2 linked regions of the Anolis sagrei genome follow. The protein of the gene in region 1 purifies or fractionates together with the protein of each later gene. This does not show direct contact. Links are inferred from orthologs where the notes say so. Each region holds a gene or a part of one and is shown on either strand. Other genes may lie near its edges.

What was found. The genes of interacting proteins can lie anywhere in the genome.
Region 2: the proteins of RITA1 (region 1) and RBPJ purify together in Homo sapiens (affinity purification with mass spectrometry; 4 studies listed by BioGRID and IntAct, with this or other methods). This does not show direct contact. The link is inferred for Anolis sagrei from reciprocal best matches to the Homo sapiens genes RITA1 and RBPJ.

What each region holds. Positions count from the first base shown.
Region 1 is NC_090034.1:45,199,025-45,209,281, reverse strand, and holds the start of RITA1 (RBPJ-interacting and tubulin-associated protein 1), read left to right. Parts: upstream 1-5,683; 5' UTR 5,684-5,863; intron 5,864-5,877; exon of another isoform or gene 5,878-5,906; intron 5,907-10,257. UniProt on the Homo sapiens protein: Tubulin-binding protein that acts as a negative regulator of Notch signaling pathway.
Region 2 is NC_090025.1:113,055,526-113,064,875, forward strand, and holds the start of RBPJ (recombining binding protein suppressor of hairless), read left to right. Parts: upstream 1-4,844; 5' UTR 4,845-4,871; coding exon 4,872-4,975; intron 4,976-5,037; exon of another isoform or gene 5,038-5,124; intron 5,125-9,350. UniProt on the Homo sapiens protein: Transcriptional regulator that plays a central role in Notch signaling, a signaling pathway involved in cell-cell communication that regulates a broad spectrum of cell-fate determinations.

The DNA.
Region 1 (10,257 bases):
ATATTTACTACTATTTTATAGATAAAATGGTAGTAAAGTGCATAGTCAAATTTTGGGATCCTACCTAAGGACCCCCAAAATTATATTATATTATACAATAATATAATATTTTTTTTATTATATAATACATTATTATTATATTATATAGTCATATAATATAATAATATATTGTTATATTGTATTACATTATATTATTCGATCCCATAGCATTGGGCCCTCATTATATTATACTATATTATTATATAATAATAGTATATAATACAATATAATATTATTTTATATAGTAATATAATAATAATTTGTTATATTGTATTATATTATTTGATCCCTTAGCATTGGGTCATTAATGTAGTATGTTATATTATTGTCTCATAGTAAAGATAAAGGTTTTCCCTTAACATTAAGTCTAGTCATGTCCGACTCTGGGGTGTGGTGCTCATCTCCATTTCTAAGCTGAAGAGCCAGCATGACTGCACGGAGCATCGTTACCTTCCCACCGGAGCAGTTCCTATTGATCTACTCACATTTGCATGTGAGTTGCAGGTCGAACACGGAATTCCCTGCCCTCAAGCTAATCTGACCGGCAGCAGGGCGTTCCTCAGTTCTCCATTGCCCCGCTTGGGCCAACCTCATGAACGTGGGCACAGCAGCAGCTGCAACTCAGAAGCCATCTTATTTCTTTGCCTTTTCCCCTTCCTAACGTTGTAACTAATCCCCCCAATAAAAAGTATCAATTAATTGTAACCTTTTTCCTCTTCATGGTGTTACTTGGTGTCTCTTTATTGCCTCAAATTTCTCTTTTCATAAAACTTTCCTCTCCCGGGCTGCAGATGACTGCCAGCCCTCCTGGGTTGCGATTTTTGCGTCCCGGGGAGGCAGAAACTGCGTTCCCTTAAACCGCGGATATGGAAACCCCCTTGGGCCCCTGTATCAGCGAGTCAACAGATCGCTTCGAAAATGGTGTCATTCTTCTGGGAGAATTCCAGTGGCTATCTCGGTTTCGCTCCGCTGTCCTCTCCGCCCCAGGAATAACCTTTTTTTGTCTCTAAAACTTCAGCCTGGAGCCCAGCTGTTTTTCCAAGGAGATTGCCTCGTTGCCACCATTTTGTGGATGTCCAGGGAGCATGCTGATCTTGGGCAACTGTCGCAGTCACCCCAGAGGAACCCCAAGATGTCAGCAGGCTGCCTGAGTCCTTGGTATGGAGGGATCTGTAGTTCTCTCCACGGATCTCAATCTTCAACGTTGGCAGTCGGCTCATAAGGACTCTGTGGACACTGGGACACCTTTTCCCACTTGCCTTTTCTGGATTTCACAACTTTGATCAACTTTCCCAAACTTTCAAGAACTTTTAAAAACTTGGTGGACTACCTTGCATGAATAGGGATGATATGATTTCATGCTTATGAACTTATTCCTTTGGACTCTAGTGGGTGGGATGAGTGTATTATGAAATCCCTTTATGCTTCATTGTCCCTTATGTGTCTCCCTTGAACCTTATGTATGTGTCTGTATATGAAATATGGGAAGCCACCCTTTTCGTGACCCCAGTGAAACACCAGCCTTGGGAAGTTCATTTCCTAGGGCAAATTTCCATTGATTCTAGGTTTTCAACAAAGACTATTTACATGATAATAACCAGGCTCTCCCTCAGTTTCGGATCATGACCACTTGGGAAAGGGCCCCTGGTAAACTAGTCATCTATCAACAAAGAAACATCCTGCCTCCAAGGGAGGCCAGGATATCCCAGCCTTCCTCCCTTTTGTCATTTCCCCTTGGACCAAGAAAATCTACCAAATTACAAAGTGATCCAATATCTAAGACAAGGAAATACCAGGGCTTGGCAATCGTGCCCGCTATAAAGATACGCTCTTGATGGCCAAACAATATAACTGGACAGGGGCAAACAGATCCCAACACTGTCCCTCCTTCAATAAGGAATTCACACCACTTTGGCACTTATAGTGTTTGAGGGGATGTCTCTTGATTAAAACCTTCGCTGCCACCATAAACTGAAGAATCAGGAACCCTCTAGCTATTTAGAATGTTAAAAGGCTTTTCTAGGACCACCAAACACTGTGTATTAAAAAGGGCTTCTTTGAGGGGAAACAGGAGAGGTTGATTTAAAAAGAAAAAAAGACTGAATCTACAAATGGCACTTGACTCAGGCTTAAATTTTAAAAATAACAAGAAAGGTTTATTGAATACAAGTTACAGAATAAAAGTGAATGCAGTTGTAGAGTCTTTGCTGTTACAAATTAAAGTGTTCTTGGTTCTTAGAAGCGTAATGGTTGCTTGAGAGAATGGTTCTATTCTTTGTTACAATTCCTAAAGAAAACCCAGCTATTTCCTTTCTAAAATAGCTGTAACCAGTCTGCCACAGCCTACTTTGCTGTGCAAACTACAGGCAAGCTGCCTATTCCTAACAGAGACTCCTAAAACTCTAATCCTACTCTAACATCACCCAGAACTGAACTGAACTGTCAAAATAAGCTTCTCTCTTTCCCTCCAACTGGCTAACTCCGCCCCCCTTTTCCAAACCAATCCTGGCTGTTGCTGGGCTGGCACAGGCCTAGGCCACTCCCCCTCTCTGAACTGGAGTCTTCCCTAAACTAAGATGGCTCCTGCCGCTCTCTGCCAGGCCTTCCTAAGCTGAAACTACCTAGCCTGTCTCTTCCTAGGCCCTGCCACCCCCCAGCTGGCAAGGTAAGGGATCTTTACACCCGCCATATCTGCATATCGCAACCTTTCAAGAATACCCAGCCAGCTTGAGGAATCTTTTCTTTTGATTAATCGCCAGCCATTTGGACACATTGAGCCATTCTAATTCAATCATCTGGACATTCCTTTCATTGTTCTTCCCAAGGACCGCCTCCTCCGCTCCTATTGGTCGAAAGCTCGAAGTGGCACTGGCTTTCTGATTCACTGAGGCGCAGTCAAGCTGGCTGCGCCTCCTCTCCAGCTGATGACAACAACCAATCAGGAGAAGGCTGGCTGAGGGGTGGGAAATTTGAACTTTGACAGCTCTGTTTCTCTATAAAAATGTACTGCAATGTATTGAATGTATGTCTCTCCTGACGAACTATCGCGGTTTGACATCCGTACCAGCTGGATGAAATAAATACAACTCGGTGGCTTTTCTTCAATTTTGGTGAGATTTATTGGGAAAAATCTGGGGAAAATTCTATTGGCTTTTCCTTTGCTCGCCAGAGTTCCGGATCCTCATTTTTTAATTTTTTTATTTAGAGCTTTTATAACCCGGTCTTCTCGACCTCCGAAGAGGGACTCAGGCCGGCTAACAGCAGAAAATTCAACACATATATAATGAACATAATAGCATCATAATACATTAATACATTAAAATACAGATCATACAATATCACACAAAAGCCATGTTTTTACCAGCTTTCTGAAAGTCAGGAGGGAAGAGGCGGATCTAATCTCCAATGGGAGAGAGTTCCAGAGCCGAGGGGCCACCACCGAGAAGGTGCTGTCCCTCGTCCCCACCAGACACAATTGTGAAGGTGGTGGGACCGAGAGCAGGCCCCCTCCAGAAGATCTTAACAACCTTGATGGTTCATAGGAGAGAATCCGTTTGGACAGGTAAACTGGGCCGGAGTCGTTTAGGGATTTATAGGTCAACACCAGCACTTTGGTGGGTCTTAGGGCTCCGTTCTCCTGGGTGAGTCTCCAAACTCTAGCTCAATATCATTAGGCTGGCAGAAGCTGGGGCTGACAGCGGAAGCTCATGCCGCTTCCCAGATTTGAACCTGCAACCTTTCGGTCAGCAAGGTCAGCAGCCCAGCAGTTTAACCCACTGCGCCACCAGTGTCTCCCTATTGTATAATATAATAATATAATATTTTATTGTATTGTCGAAGGCTTTCATGGCCGGAATCACTGGGTTGTTGTAGGTTTTTCCGGGCTATATGGCCATGTTCTGTATCAGACACTGATATTTTATTTATTATATAATACATTATTATTTTATTACATTATGTGATACTAGCTGTACCCTGCCACGCGTTGCTGTGGTCCAGTCTGTTGATCTGGAAAATAAAGTAATGAGAAAGTGTTGGTTTCTAATATACGTAATTTCTTTATGCTTGCAGGTAAACCGTACTTCTTGTTTCTTTGTCACTGTTGATGTGGAGAGTGTCTGGTTTGCCCACCCTGGAACATGCAACATATCATTGTCCTTCTTTAAGGGTCCCTTTCAAATCTATGATACTATATCTCTCTGTGTGTGAATCATATGTATCTGTCTGTCTGTCTATCTATCTAATCTATGGCTGGATGGCTCTTTGTCAGGAGGGTTTTGATAACGTTTTCTTGCCCTGAAGAAGGGAGTTAGATTGGATGGCCTTAAGTATTTTCTGTTGGTCATGGGGGTTCTGTGTGGGAAGTTTGCCCCAATTCTATCGCTTGTGGGGTTCATCATGCTCTTTGATTGTAAGTGAACTGTGAATCCCAGTGATTACAACTCTCAAATGTCAAGGTCTATTTCCCCCAAACTCCATCTGTGTTCATATTTGGGTGTATCGAGTGTTTGTGCCCAGTTTGGTCCCGATCCATCATTGTTTGAGTCCACAGTGCTCTCTGGATGTAGGAGAACTACAACTCCCAAACTCAAGGTCAATGCCCACCAAACCCTTCCAGTATTTTCTGTTGGTCATGGGAGTTCTGTGTGCCAAGTTTGGTTCAATTCCATCATTGATGGAGTTCAGAATGCTCTTTGAGTGTAGGTGAACTATAAATCCCAGCAACTACAACTCCCAAATGACAAAATCATAATTTTTTTGAGTGATGGTCACTCCTTGTGTGGTGAGATGTTTTGTTGCCAAATTTGGTGTGATTTCGTTCACTGGTTCTTTTGTTTTTAAGGTACTCATTATGAACAGAGCATTTTTATATATATAGAAGATAGATAGTCATATAATAATATACTGTTATATTGTATTGTATTATTCGATCCCATAGCATTGGATCCTTATTATATATTATTATATAATAATATTATATTGTATTATATCATAATATAATATTAAAAAGTATTATATTAATTATGTTATGCTATATTATATTATATTATATTATATTATATTATATTATAAAGCCATGGTATTCCCTGTAGTCACCTACGGATGTGAGAGCTGGACCTTAGGGAAGGCTGAGCGAAGGAAGATCGATGCTTTTGAGCTGTGGTGTTGGAGGAAAGTGCTGAGAGTGCCTTGGACTGCGAGAAGATCCAACCAGTCCATCCTCCAGGAAATAAAGCCCGACTGCTCACTGGAGGGAAAGATACTAGAGACAAAGCTGAAGTACTTTGGCCACATCATGAGGAGACAGGAAAGCCTAGAGAAGACAATTATGCTGGGGAAAGTGGAAGGCAAAAGGAAGAGGGGCCGACCAAGGGCAAGATGGATGGATGGCATCCTTGAAGTGACTGGACTGACCTTGAGGGAGCTGGGGGTGGTAACGGCCGACAGGGAGCTCTGGCGTAGGCTGGTCCATGAGGTCACGAAGAGTCGGAGACGACTGAACGAATGAACAACAACAATATTATATTATATTATTTGTAGAGTTTAAATGTACCCTGAGATATTTTCATGAGAGATCTGGTGTATGACACCCAAGCCTAAAAAAGACAGTCATTTATGTTGCAGAGACGCACAGCCTGAAATATAATATTTTGTGTGTGCATGAAACCAAGCCATCAGAAAGCAAAGCAGAGAAGCCAGCAAGTTCCTGTCTTGCTCTAATCAAGAGCCGCGAATGGGAACCGGAAGTGAAGAGTTGTTCCTCGTCTTCTTTCATGAGGAGCTGATCGGTGGCCGAAAGAGGGGCCAAGGAGGCGAGCAAACCGTAAGATCGGGGCCGAGGGGGGGATCGGGGCCGGGCTGAAAAGGTAGGACTGCAAAAAGAAAGGGAAGAGAATGCCTCAGGCCGTGTGCAAAAGCCAGAGATGGCTTGGATTGGCTGGTTTTCTGCTGCTTTGCAGTCGTTTCCCAGGGAAACGAGATGCAAACAATGAAAAGGGTGCATATGCTGCACGGTCGAATGAGGACAGCTTGACCTCCCCTGAACTGCTTTGGCTCCAGATAGGGGATCCTGCGAGTTGTGGTTCGGCGGGGAAGACTCAAGACCTTGGGAAACTAGAACTTGCAGGAAGACCTATTACCCTGAGCCCGGGCAGTTTAAATGGCGCGTCTACATTGTGGAATGGATGCAGGTTGACCCCATTTAAACTGCCTGGGCTCAGGGTAATAGGTCTTCCTGGAAGTTCTAGTTTCCCAAGGTCTTGAGCCCCCTCTGGGTGCTTCTATGCTGCTGAAGACCTTGGGACTCAAGACCTTGGGAAACTAGAACTTACAGGAAGACCTATTACCCTGAGCCCGGGCAGTTTAAATTGGGTCAACCTGCATCATTCCACAATGTAGACGCGCCCTATAGTGAACTCAGTGCAATGGTGTCCTGGGAGTTGTAGTTCTCCAAGGCCTGCTAAACTATAACTCGCAGGATTCCATACCCCGGAGGCCTGGCAGTTCAAGGGACATCAAGCTCCATTCATTCAGCAGCACAGATGCACGCAGAGGAGGCTCAAGACCTTGGGAAACTAGAACTTCCAGGAGGACCTATTACCCTGAGCCCGGGCAGTTCAAATTGGGTCCACCTGCATCCATTCCACAATGTAGACGCACCCTATGGTGAACTCAGTGCAATGGTGTCCTGGGAGTTGTAGTTCTCCAAGGCCTGCCAAACTATAACTCGCAGGATTCCATACCCTGGAGGCCTAGCAGTTCAAGGGAGATTAATCTGCATTCATTCAGCAGCATAGATGCCCCCAGAGGGGGCTCAAGACCTTGGGAAACTTGAACTTCCAGGAGGACCTATTACCCTGAGCCCAGGCAGTTTAAATGGGGTCAACCTGCATCCATTCCACAATGTAGACGCGCCCTATGGTGAACTCAGTGCAATGGCGTCCTGGGAGTTGTAGTTCTCCAAGGCCTGCCAAACTATAACTCGCAGAATTCCATACCCTGGAGGCCTGGCAGTTCAAGGGACATCAAGCTGCATTCATTCAGCAGCATAGATGCTTCTGCTCCAGGGTAATAGGCCCTCCTGGAAGTTCTAGTTTCCCAAGGTCTTGAGCCCCCTCTGGGTGCTTCTATGCTGCTGAAGACCTTGGGACTCAAGACCTTGGGAGACTAGAACTTCCAGGAAGACCTATTACCCTGAGCCCAGGCAGTTTAAATTGGGTCAACCTGTATCCATTCCACAATGTAGACGAGCCCTATGGTGAACTCAGTGCAATGGCATCCTGGGAGTTGTAGTTTTCCAAGGCCTGCCAAACTATAACTCGCAGGATTCCATACCCTGGAGGCCTGGCAGTTCAAGGGACATCAAGCTGCATTCATTCAGCAGCATAGATGCTTCTGCTCCAGGGTAATAGGTCCTCCTGGAAGTTCTAGTTTCCCAAGGTCTTGAGCCCCATCTGGGTGCTTCTATGCTGCTGAAGACCTTGGGACTCAAGACCTTGGGAAACTAGAACTTCCAGGAAGACCTATTGCCCTGAGCCTGGGCAGTTTAAATGGGGTCAACCTGCATCATTCCACAATGTAGACGCGCCCTATGGTGAACTCAGTGCAATGGCATCCTGGGAGTTGTAGTTCTCCAAGGCCTGCTAAACTATAACTCGCAGGATTCCATACCCTGGAGGCCTGGCAGTTCAAGGGACATCAAGCTGCATTCATTCAGCAGCATAGATGCTTCTGCTCCAGGGTAATAGGCCCTCCTGGAAGTTCTAGTTTCCCAAGGTCTTGAGTCTCCTCTGGGAGCTTCTATGCTGCTGAAGACCTTGGGACTCAAGACCTTGGGAAACTAGAACTTCCAGGAAGACCTATTACCCTGAGCCCAGGCAGTTTAAATTGGGTCAACCTGCATCCATTCCACAATGTAGACGCGCCCTATGGTGAACTCAGTGCAATGGTGTCCTGGGAGTTGTAGTTCTCCAAGGCCTGCTAAACTATAACTCGCAGGATTCCGTACCCTGGAGGCCTGGCAGTTCAAGGGACATCAAGCTGCATTCATTCAGCAGCATAGATGCTTCTGCTCCAGGGTAATAGGCCCTCCTGGAAGTTCTAGTTTCCCAAGGTCTTGAGTCCCCTCTGGGAGCTTCTATGCTGCTGAAGACCTTGGGACTCAAGACCTTGGGAAACTAGAACTTCCAGGAAGACCTATTGCCCTGAGCCCGGGCAGTTTAAATTGGGTCAACCTGCATCCATTCCACAATGTAGACGCGCCCTATGGTGAACTCAGTGCAATGGTGTCCTGGGAGTTGTAGTTCTCCAAGGCCTGCTAAACTATAACTCGCAGGATTCCGTACCCTGGAGGCCTGGCAGTTCAAGGGACATCAAGCTGCATTCATTCAGCAGCATAGATGCTTCTGCTCCAGGGTAATAGGTCCTCCTGGAGGTTCTAGTTTCCCAAGGGTTTGAGCCCCCTCTGGGAGCTTCTATGCTGCTGAAGACCTTGGGACTCAAGACCTTGGGAAACTAGAACTTCCAGGAAGACCTATTACCTTGAGCCCAGGCAGTTTAAATGGGGTCAACCTGCATTCATTCCACAATGTAGACGCACCCTATGGTGAACTCAGTGCGATGGCATCCTGGGAGTTGTAGTTCTCCAAGGCCTGCCATACTATAACTTGCAGGATCCCATAGGCTGGAGTCCTAGCAGTTCAAGGGAGATCAAGCTGCATTCATTCAGCAGCGTAGATGCACCCAGAGGAGGTTCAAGACCTTGGGAAACTAGAACTTCCAGGAGGACCTATTACCCTGAGCCTGGGCAGTTTAAATTGGGTCAACCTGCATCCATTCCACAATGTAGACGTGCCCTATGGTGAACTCAGTGCAATGGTGTCCTGGGAGTTGTAGTTCTCCAAGGCCTGCCATGCTATAACTCGCAGGATCCCATAGGCTGGAGGCCTAGCAGTTCAAGAGAGATCAAGCAGCATTCATTCAGCAGCGTAGATGCACCCAGAGGAGGCTCAAGATCTTGGGAAACTAGAACTTCTAGGAGGGCCTATTACTCCCAGCAATATGTCCCTAATTGTACCTTATTAGTGATCTAGAACTGTCTGAACGCCCCATTCTTTTCCGAAATTCTATCCTAGTTATATTTCACCTGGTCTTGTCCAGCATTATTTTAAAATTTTAACTATTACATTTGGCCCAGCCATTGGTTTTTAAATGTTATTGTGTTATTGTCGATGTTTACTGCCTATTTTTTGTTTATGAGCTTTATTTTATGGTTTTGTATTACTGCTGTTGTTGTTTTTTGCTGATGTACTGTGGGCTCGGCCTCATTTAAGCCGCACTGAGTCCCTTGGGGAGATGGTAGCGGGGCATAAATAAAGTATTATTATTATTATTATTATTATTATTATTATTATTATTACCCTGAGCCCAGGCAGTTTAAATGGGGTCAACCTGCATCCATTCCACAATGTAGACGCACCCTATGGTGAACTCAGTGCAATGGCATCCTGGGAGTTGTAGTTCTCCAAGGCCTGCCAAACTATAACTCGCAGGATTCCATACCCTGGAGGCCTGGCAGTTCAAGGGACATCAGGCTGCATTCATTCAGCAACATAGATGCACCCAGAGGGGGCTCAAGACCTTGGGAAACTAGAACTTCCAGGAGGGCCTATTACCCTGAGCCCGGGCAGTTTAAATTGGGTCAACCTGAATCCATTCCACAATGTAGACGCACCCTATGGTGAACTCAGTGCGATGGCATCCTCGGAGTTGTAGTTCTCCAAGGCCTGCCAAACTATAACTCGCAGGATCCCATAGGCTGGAGATCTGGCAGTTCAAGGGAGATCAAGCTGCACTCATTCAGCAGCGTAGATGCACCCAGAGGGGGCTCAAGACCTTGGGAAACTAGAACTTCCAGGAGGACCTATTACCTTGAGCCCGGGCATTTAAATAGGGTCAACCTGCATCCATTCCACAATGTAGACGCGCCCTATGGTGAACTCAGTGCAATGGCGTCCTGGGATTTGTAGTTCTCCAATGCCTGCCAAACTATAACTCACAGGATCCCATAGACTGGAGACTTGGCAGTTCAAGGGACATCAAGTTGCATTCATTCAGCAGCGTAGGTGCACCCAGAGGAGGCTAAAGACCCTGGGAAACTAGAACTCCCAGGATCTCATAGCACTGAACCAGGGCAGTTGAAGTGGGGTCAAGCTGCAT
Region 2 (9,350 bases), on another chromosome or scaffold:
AATAAAAAAAATCCTAACAATTTGTTGCTTTTCTGTGGAATTCCAAATTGTCTCCTTGAGGCAGCTATTTTACTAAGTAGGCAGGGTCTACCTCACTGAGAGGACCCATAAAACCATAACCTTGAGGAAGTGGGCAGATTTGTCCTTGATTTAGTCCAGCAGACTGACCTAAAACAGCAGACTTAAGATGGTTATACTATTCTTATACTCCAATGAATTGATTACACCTTCCTTAGAGATAATGAAGTCCCATCTGGAGCAGTCTGGGGAGGGAAGTTTGCCATAATTTCTATTATGAGCTATCCCAGCTCCCATTAAAACATTACTAGAGAATGCTACTGGTTATTCCTGCCTATTATTAACTCCCTGCAAGGTGTAGCCTCTTTATGTCACTGATACTGAAGCCAGTATCTTACTGATAGTTACTTAACAAACTTAAGAGAGTGCAAAAGAGTCCTTTAGGGTGTTGCCCCAATTAGATTCAACACTCCCTTATTGCAATCATGATCCTTTCTAAGATTTTTTTTCAGTTCCATGTGTTTGTCTCAGAGGTAACTCCCACACTTTTGAAAAGAACTTAACCTCCTGTGGGTGTACGCAGAATTGCGCCACAATGGATTTTACTGTGTGGAAACTTTTCTCCCTTTCTTTTTTCAAAACCTGAAAGCTGCAGGCCAAATTTTTTGTACAGCACATAAATTAGCCACATTTTATTTTGTTAGTTTGTAGACTGCTTTGGTCCAATTCTAGAAGAAGGGTGGGATATAAATTAAACAAACAAACAAATAAGAAGCATTGTACTTACCTGGAGGATGAGGTCTGTTGTAATGAATAGTGGAGATCACATATCCTTCCTTCTAGCATAGAATCAAGTGAAAACTTATCCCCCCCCCTTGTTTCAGAATTCTTTATTATTTATATTCTACCTTTCTCAAGGTAACTTACAATTTCATGACACAACCAATAAATTTAAAAACATGGCAAATACAAAAGTTAAAGAACAATTAAAAGCAATTAAATAGTTGTGTCATGTATTCAAAATTATGATTAAGATTCAATAAAATAACTCATAAAATTAAAATTAGATTTAAAATGAAATATCATCCCCGACTCTCCTTCCAGCCTCCCCTGCAGCATTCCCCTCTTCCTTCCCCAATTGCCTGCTGGCAGAGAAAAGTCTTAATTTGCCTGCAGAAGGCCAGCAGGGTCTCTCCTGGGAGGGAGTTCCATAGTCTGGGAGAAGCCACTGAAAAGGCCTTCTCCACTGTTCTCACCAAATGCACTTTAGCAGGTGGTGAGACAGACAAGGCCCTCTCTAGTAGATCCTAGATATCTAGCAGGTTCATAGAAAGATAAGGGCTTTGTATCACTCTGAATGGTTCCCGGAAATGTGTTGACAGCCAGTGGAACTGCTACAACAAAGGAGTTGGACACCCCCTGTTGCCAACCCCGATTAATAACCTGGCTACTGCTATTTGGACCAGCTGAAGTTTCTGAGCACTTTTCAAAGGTAGCCCCCCATAGAGTGCATAACAGTAGTCCAAGCAGGCTGTAACCCACACTGTGGCCAGATCTGACTTCTCCAGGATTGGGCACAGTTGGCATACTAGCTTTAATAAAAGACTCCTGGTTACTGCTAGTACCTAGGCCTCCAAGTTCAGAACCAAATCCAAGATTATCCCCAAACTGTTAACCTGTGTTTTCAGGTGGAGTGTGACCCCATCTAACACAGACTGAATCTCTGTTCCCAGATTTGTTTTACGACTGACAAAGAGCACCTCTGTCTTGTCTGGATTAAGCTTCAATTTGTTTGCCCTCATCCAGTCCATTGCAGCTGCCAGGCACCAGTTTAGCACAGGAACCACTTCCTTGGAAGTAGGTGAAAAGGAGGCAAACTGGAACTCTGAGGGACTCCAGAAGCCAGTACCTTCCAGACCCATTCCAGAAAGGCAACTCAGAAGGATACCATGGTCAATGGTATGAAAAGCCACTGAAAAGTCCAGGAGAACCAACAGAAACACACTCCCCTCTGTCCAGTTGTCCATGTATGTCATCCACTAAGGTGACCAAAGCTATCTTATTATTTATTGTTAACTTTATTAATATCCCACTTTTCTCTGCATGGGGACTCAAGGCAGCTAACTATCCCACACTTTGCCCCTTATCCTTCCCCAAATGCCTGCTGGCAGAAGAAGTTCTTGACCTGTCTGCAGAAGGAGAGCAGGAATGGGGCCATCCTGGTTTCTCTTGGGAGGGAGTTACACAATTTGGGTGCAGAAGTCCCTCTCCTATGTTCCTTGAGTGTATGGTGTGACAGAGAGAATGCCCTCCCCAGTCGATTGCAGATGTCTCCCAGGTTCATAGAAAGAGATACAGTCCTTCAGATCTGGAACGGAGCTGTGAAGGGATTTGTAGACCTTTGTCCTATAACCAGGCCTGAAACCAGATTGAAATGGATATAGACTATCATTTGCGAAGTTGAATTTCATATGGAAAATGACTCAAAGAGTGTGGCTCTTTGGTGGGGAATGTAAGGGATGGTAGAAGTCACATACTTTCCTCTCCAACATATCCTTCAAATGTTCCACTATTCTTTGGTTTATATACCAGCAAGATGCAAATCCCAAATACAAGTGACCTTTTTCCTCTGCTGGAAACCGCATTCTCAATCCAACTCCAGTCACTATGGCTTGTAACTGTGCTTAGGATCACTATTTGGGCTGCAGTCTTTTATAGTTGCTCCCCACATTTGAAGGTTTGACTTTTGAAGATTTGATTATTCATGGAATTGATTAAAATGTTCTTTATATGACTTGGTAGGACCACCAATGCGATGGTATGCTTAACTTCCATAGACATTGACCATAAAATCATGCTAGAGGATCTAGACATTCCTAGGGAGGGATTACCTTCCGTAAAAAATTAACACTATATGTAATATACTTTGTGTACAGTTTTGAAGATATAAACCCTTGGGATAGAGATTTGTTAATGTAAAAACAAGCAGAAATAAATAATTTGCTGGCTATAAGGAGGAGGAAGAAAATGCTAAATTATAGAGAAATAGGCAAAAGTGAAGCAGGAAATCCTCTCTTAAAAAACAGATTTATGCATGCAAGTTTCTATTTTAAAGTTATATGTCATTAGAGTAGAGATGCACATTTGTAGGAGAAATTGTGTAGCTAGTTATACAGTTGTCATTTATGTATGTGTATATATATCTGCTATATGCCTGTGAGACGTAGACTATCTACAGATGTCTCATGCAACTCCTAGAACAATTCCATCAGTGTTGCCTCTGAAAAATATCTTGGGAAGACAAGCAGACAAATGTCAGCATGCTGGAAGAAGCAAAGACCACCAGCATTTAAGTGATGCTCCTCTGTCATCAACTCTGCTGGACCATGTTGTCCGTATGGCCAACCACCGTCTCCCAAAGCAGTTACTGTACTCCAAACTCAAGAATGGAAAATAGAATATTGGTGGGCAGGAAAAGAGATTTAAAGATGGGCTCAAAGCCAACCTTAAAAACTGTGGCATAGACACTGAGAACTGGGAAGCCCTGGCCTGTTAGTGATCCAGCTGGAGGTCAGCTGTGAACAGCAGTGCTGCAGAATTTGAAGAGGCACGAATGGAGGGTGAAAGAGAGAAACGTGCCAAGAGGAAGGAGCGTCAAGCCAACCCTGACCGGTACCGCCTTCCATCTGGAAACCGATGCTGTCACTGTGGGAGAAGATGCAGATCAAAAATAGGGCTCCACAGTCACCTATGGACCCACTACTAAGACATCGATCTTGGAAGACAATCCTACTCGGACAACGAGGGATCGCCTAAGTAAGTAAGTATGTAAGTTTTTGTTTCTTTGGGTTTCTTATGTTAAATTTTAAATTAAGAAAATGAATATATATATATACATATATATATATAAAATTCCAGTTATTATTATTATTAATAATTTATTTCTATCCTACTTTTCTTCGAGATTGGGACTCAAAGAGGCGAATAAAATGGGAACACAAACATTACAATCATTAAAAAATAATCAATTAAACCACAACATCTCATTAAAAAATTATAAAACACGCAATGCCATAATAAAGAAGTAGTAAAGAAGTAATAAACAATCAATAGAATTAAAATCGCATCAAGTAGACAAGAAAAACAATAAAAAGAGCATTTTTGGAATGGATGGAAACTCAGTTCAGCACCATGGAAAGCTCCCTTAAACTCTGGAACAGAAACCAAGGCGGATTTCTGGCCCTCCTCATTGGTCCAAGTGATGTGCAACACAAATATGTTACAAATTAACTCAAAAGCCCCAAAATGCACAAAGTAGAGCAATGGGCCTAGAAGTATTTTTTTTTATTTAAGAGAATTAAGCTATTTGTTTATTGTAGTTTCTCCTCTTAAAACGGCTGGGTATATCCCTAACCCCCCCATGCTAACTAATGGATTCGTCCATAGAACGTTGCGAATGGCTCTATTAAAGAATATGACGTTCCCTTCAGTTTCAGGGCCTTTCCATTCTCTGGCCGGGGGGGGGGGAGGAGAGTGCTATTGACAGCACTGCGCCGGAATGATTGGCAGGAAGGAAACACACACATACACATACACCCCTCCTTTTTACTATCACTATCCTCTCGCGATGTCAGCGCCTGCCTCCCATTCATGAGGACTCGCGAGGCTTGGGTTCCTGTTCCCACGCCTGTTGTGTCTGCCTCTTGAGACGAGGGAAAAAGGGAAGCAGCTGGGAGTCAGTGAGCAGAGCACGTGGGCGGGGCCAACGTTCTGCCTGTAGCCCCGCCCCTCGGCCTTTTGTTTTTCTCGCTCGTGCGCGTGCGCGTTCTCGGAGGGAGGGAGGGAAATGCGGGATGCGCGCGCCTTTCCTGCTAGTGGCGGCGGACACATTGGCCGCTTCTCGCGAGAGTAGGAGTTTTGGCGAGAGTTTGTGGAAGATGGCGCCTGTTGTGACAGGGTGAGTGCGGGGGGGTTCGTGGCATAGTTGCTCCGTAGTCGGTTCCTCCCGCTCTTTCTCGGGCCGCCGGGCCTCGGCCTCTCGGCTGGCACTCCTGGCCTCCCACTGGGGCCGGGCTTTCTTCCTCCTCCGGGAGGAGCGTGTGTGCGGTGCGTGGGGTTGTGTGCGAGGGCGGGTGGCCGGGGGGAGGCCGCGTTGCTCGGCCGTTGAGGGGCGAGGAGTGTGAGGGGTTTTCTGCCCGAGTTTCCATAGGGACCCTCGTGCCTGTGAGGGCCCGGTCGCTCCTCTGTGGAGCCCCTGGCTCACTCCGAGTTCCCAGCGGGGAACACAAAGCGAGAGAGCTGAGGGACCTGCTTTCTCTTCTGTCAAAACTCTCCCGCTTCGAAACCCTTCTCCAGACAAAGCACAGGGTGGCTTTTTAGGGCCCAGAGGACCCATTCCGGTAGACATCTGACTTGGCCACTTGGTCCATGCACTGTTTACTTAGGCGATCCCTCGTTGGACGAGTAAGATGGTCTTCCATGATGGGTTTCCTTGTGGGTTCGTAGGTGGCTGTGGAGCCCTTGACCCGCATTTTCTCCCACAGTGAAGGCATTGGTTTCCAGGTGGAAGGCGGTCCCGGTCGGGGTTGACGCGCCTTCCTCCTGGCACGTTTCTCTCTTTCACCCTCCACTCAGTGCCTCCTCGAATTCTGCAGCACTGCTGGTCACAGCTGACCTCCAGCTGGAGCGCTCAAGGGCCAGGGCTTCCCAGTTCTCAGTGTCTATGCCAGAGATTTTAAGGTTGGCTTTGAGGCCATCTTTAAATCTCTTTTCCTGTCCACTAACATTCCGTTTTCCGTTCTTAAGTTCAGATTAGAGCAACTGCTTTGGGAGATGGTGGTTAGGCATCCGGACAATGTGGCCGGTCCTGCGGAGTTGATGGCAGAGGACCATCACTTCAATGCTGGTGGCTTTTTCTTCTTCCACGCTGACATTTGTCCGCTTGTCTTCCCAAGAGATTTGCAGGATTTTCCAGAGGCAGCGCTGATGGAATTGTTCCAGGAGTTGCATGTGACGTCTGTAGACAGTCCACGTTTCGCAGGCATATAGCAGGGTTGGGAGGACAATAGCTTTATAGACAAACACCTTGGTATCCCTACGGATACCAGTATGCTGATGACAATGTCGTCTGTGCGCATTCAGAAGATCTACAAGCCACTCTAAACACCTTCGCAGAAGCATATGAGAAGGTTGGCCTGTCACTGAACATTGAAAAAACCAAAGTGCTGTTCCAGCAGTCGCCAGCCATCCCCTCCCCAATGCCAGAGATACAGCTTAATGGTGTAACATTAGAAAATGTTGACCACTTCCGCTACCTTGGCAGCCACCTCTCCACCAAAGTCAACATCGACACCGAAATACAACACCGCCTGAGCTCTGCGAGTGTAGCATTTTCCCGAATGAAGCAGAGAGTGTTTGAGGATCGGGGAGGGGGGAGGGGATGCACTGCTTACACTGGCCTCGGCGCTGACCCTGGAAGCTCAATTAAAGCTTGTGCACCAACTGCGCCTGTACCTCGAAAAGCCAGATCTGGCCACGGTGGTCCATGCTTTAGATAAGTGATTCCCAACCTTTGGGCCTCCAGGTGTTTTGGATTTTAGCTCCCAGAGTGGTAAGCTGGCTGCGATTTCTGGGAGTTGAAGTCCAAAACACCTGGAGGCCCAAAGCTTTAGTTACATCTCATATGTATTCCTGCAATGCTCTCTTCTTGGGGCTGCCTTTGAAGACAGCTTGGAAACTACATCCAGGATAGACTACTGCAACACGCTCTATGTGTTGCAGTACGCTTCTCTCCTTATGAACCTCTCAGGACTTTAAGATTGTCTGGGAAGGCCCTGCTCTCGGTCCTGCCTTCATGACAAGCATGGTTGGCGGGGACGAGAGACAGGGCCTTCTCAGTGGTGGCCCCTCGGCTATGGAACGCCCTTCTTAAGGACATCAGATCGGCCCCCTCCCTTTTAACATTTCGGAAGAGAGTTAGAATCATAGAATCATCTCTCCAAGAATTTTGTCCATAGCTACAGGTTCCAAAAACTGAAAGTTATCCAAGAAAACAGGACAAAAAGGGACCAAGGTTAAATAGAGTCATAGAATCATAGAATCAAAGAGTTGGAAGAGACCTCATGGGCCATCCAGTCCAACCCCCTGCCAAGAAGCAGGAATATTGCATTCAAATCACCCCTGACAGATGGCCATCCAGCCTCTGTTTAAAAGCTTCCAAAGAAGGAGCCTCCACCACACTCCGGGGCAGAGAGTTCCACGGCTCTCACAGTCAGGAAGTTCTTCCTTATGTTCAGATGGAATCTCCTCCCTTGTAGTTTGAAGCCATTGTTTCGTGTCCTAGTCTGCAAGGAAGCAGAAAACAAGCTTGCTCCCTCCTCCCTGTGGCTTCCTCTCACATATTTATACATGGCTATCATATCTCCTCTCAGCCTTCTCTTCTTCAGGCTAAACATGCCCAGCTCCTTAAGCCGCTCCTCATAGGGCTTGTTCTCCAGACCCTTTATCATTTTAGTCGCCCTCCTCTGGACATATTCCAGCTTGGCTCTTTGAGCAGGCATTTGCAAATAAAGGGTAACAGAAATAGAAAAGTGGAATGGTTAACAATGTGACTGGACAATGTTTTTAATGAGGAGACCCTAATGATACATTTTTATTGATTCTGTTATGGTTTTATTATTCGATTGTTTTATTATATTGAAATTGTATTTTATGATGTTGGTACCAACTTGGTGTTGGTACCATCGGTCCCAAGTTGCCTGCGGGCTGAAAGGGACAGTATATAAATATAGTAAATAAATAAAATAAATAAATACGTGGGATTGCCTTTGAAGACTGCTTGGAAGCTTCAAATAGTTCAACGAGAGACAGCCAGGTTATTAACTGGGGCGGCATACAGGGAGAACACAACTCCCATGTTATGTCAGCTCCCTTATTGCCTGTTTGCTACCACACACATTTCAAAGTGCTGGCTTTGGCCTATAAAGCCGTAAATGGCCCCGGCCCAGTTTATCTGTCCCAATGGATCTCCCTTTACGAACCACCACAAAGAATAAGATCTTCTGGGGAGGCCCTGCTCTTGGTCCTGTCACAGGCGCATTTGGCGGGGACAAGAGTCAGGGCCTTCTCAGTGATTGCCCCCCGTCTATGGAACTCCCTTCCTGACAATATTAGTTCAGCCCTCTCCCTCCTGTCCTTCAGAAAGATGGTGAAGACCTGGCTTTGGGACCAAGCTATTGGGGCAGTGCAATGAGGCAATAATAGAATTATTATTTTTGCGTCTAACAGTGTCCTGAGATGGTTTTTAAGCAACTGATTTTAAAGTGGATATAAGTGATTTTAATGCTTGTGTATATTTATGGTTTTATGCCCCGGCATCGAATACTTGCCATAGATAGATAGAGTGCTTCACCCTGAGTCCCCTGTGGGGCGAGAAGGGCGGAATATAAATGTTTCAAATAAATAAATAAATTGGTACAAAGATCTGCAGCCAGGCTGCTGAAAGGAGCAAACTATCAGGAATGTACCACCCCTGATTAAAGGAACTTCACTGGCTCCCTATATACTTCTGGGCCCAATTCAAAGTGCAGGCCATTATTTATATATATATATATCTATATATTCCACATTTAGGGAAGGTACATTCTCGGGGGCAGCTCCTAAGTTGTGGAACTTGCTGAAATTAGATCAGCTCCCACCCTCATGACATTTAGGAAAGCCGTGAAGACTTCCTTGTTTGAAGCAGCTTTTAACTGAAGCCAAGCACTTATGGATGCAGCAGAGTGGGGAATTTTAGATTGATTTTAATTTTTAATGTGTGGTAATATAAAAAGATTTAAGGATTATTGAACCTCTAATACTTGTTTAGCTATGATTTTTAACTATTTGTATGTGTATTTTTAAATATGAGCCGCCTTGGGTCTGTCTTGGAGAAAGGCGGCATAGAAATATCTGCAATAAATAAATCAATATGGCTATTACTTCTTCCATGAGGAACAAAACCAGACCCCAAATCCTATGACTAAGGCTCCACTGGTTGCTGTAACCAGGTGCAATCCTTTCAAGGGAAAGCTGTTATTTCAGTCCACTCATTAACTACCCATTTGGGGTTGCATAACCTAATTGTCCTCTCCTTGCCCAGCTTGTCACTTCAGTTGGCACGTGTTCTGTATACAGCTTGAGCATCCCTTATCTGAAATGCTTAAGACCGGGAGTGTTTGGATTTTTGGAATGACGATCATTACATAGATGTACGTAATCATTGAGTTGGGATGCAGGTCTGAACACAATATTCGTTTGTGTTTCATATACGCTGTATACATGTATCCAGAAGG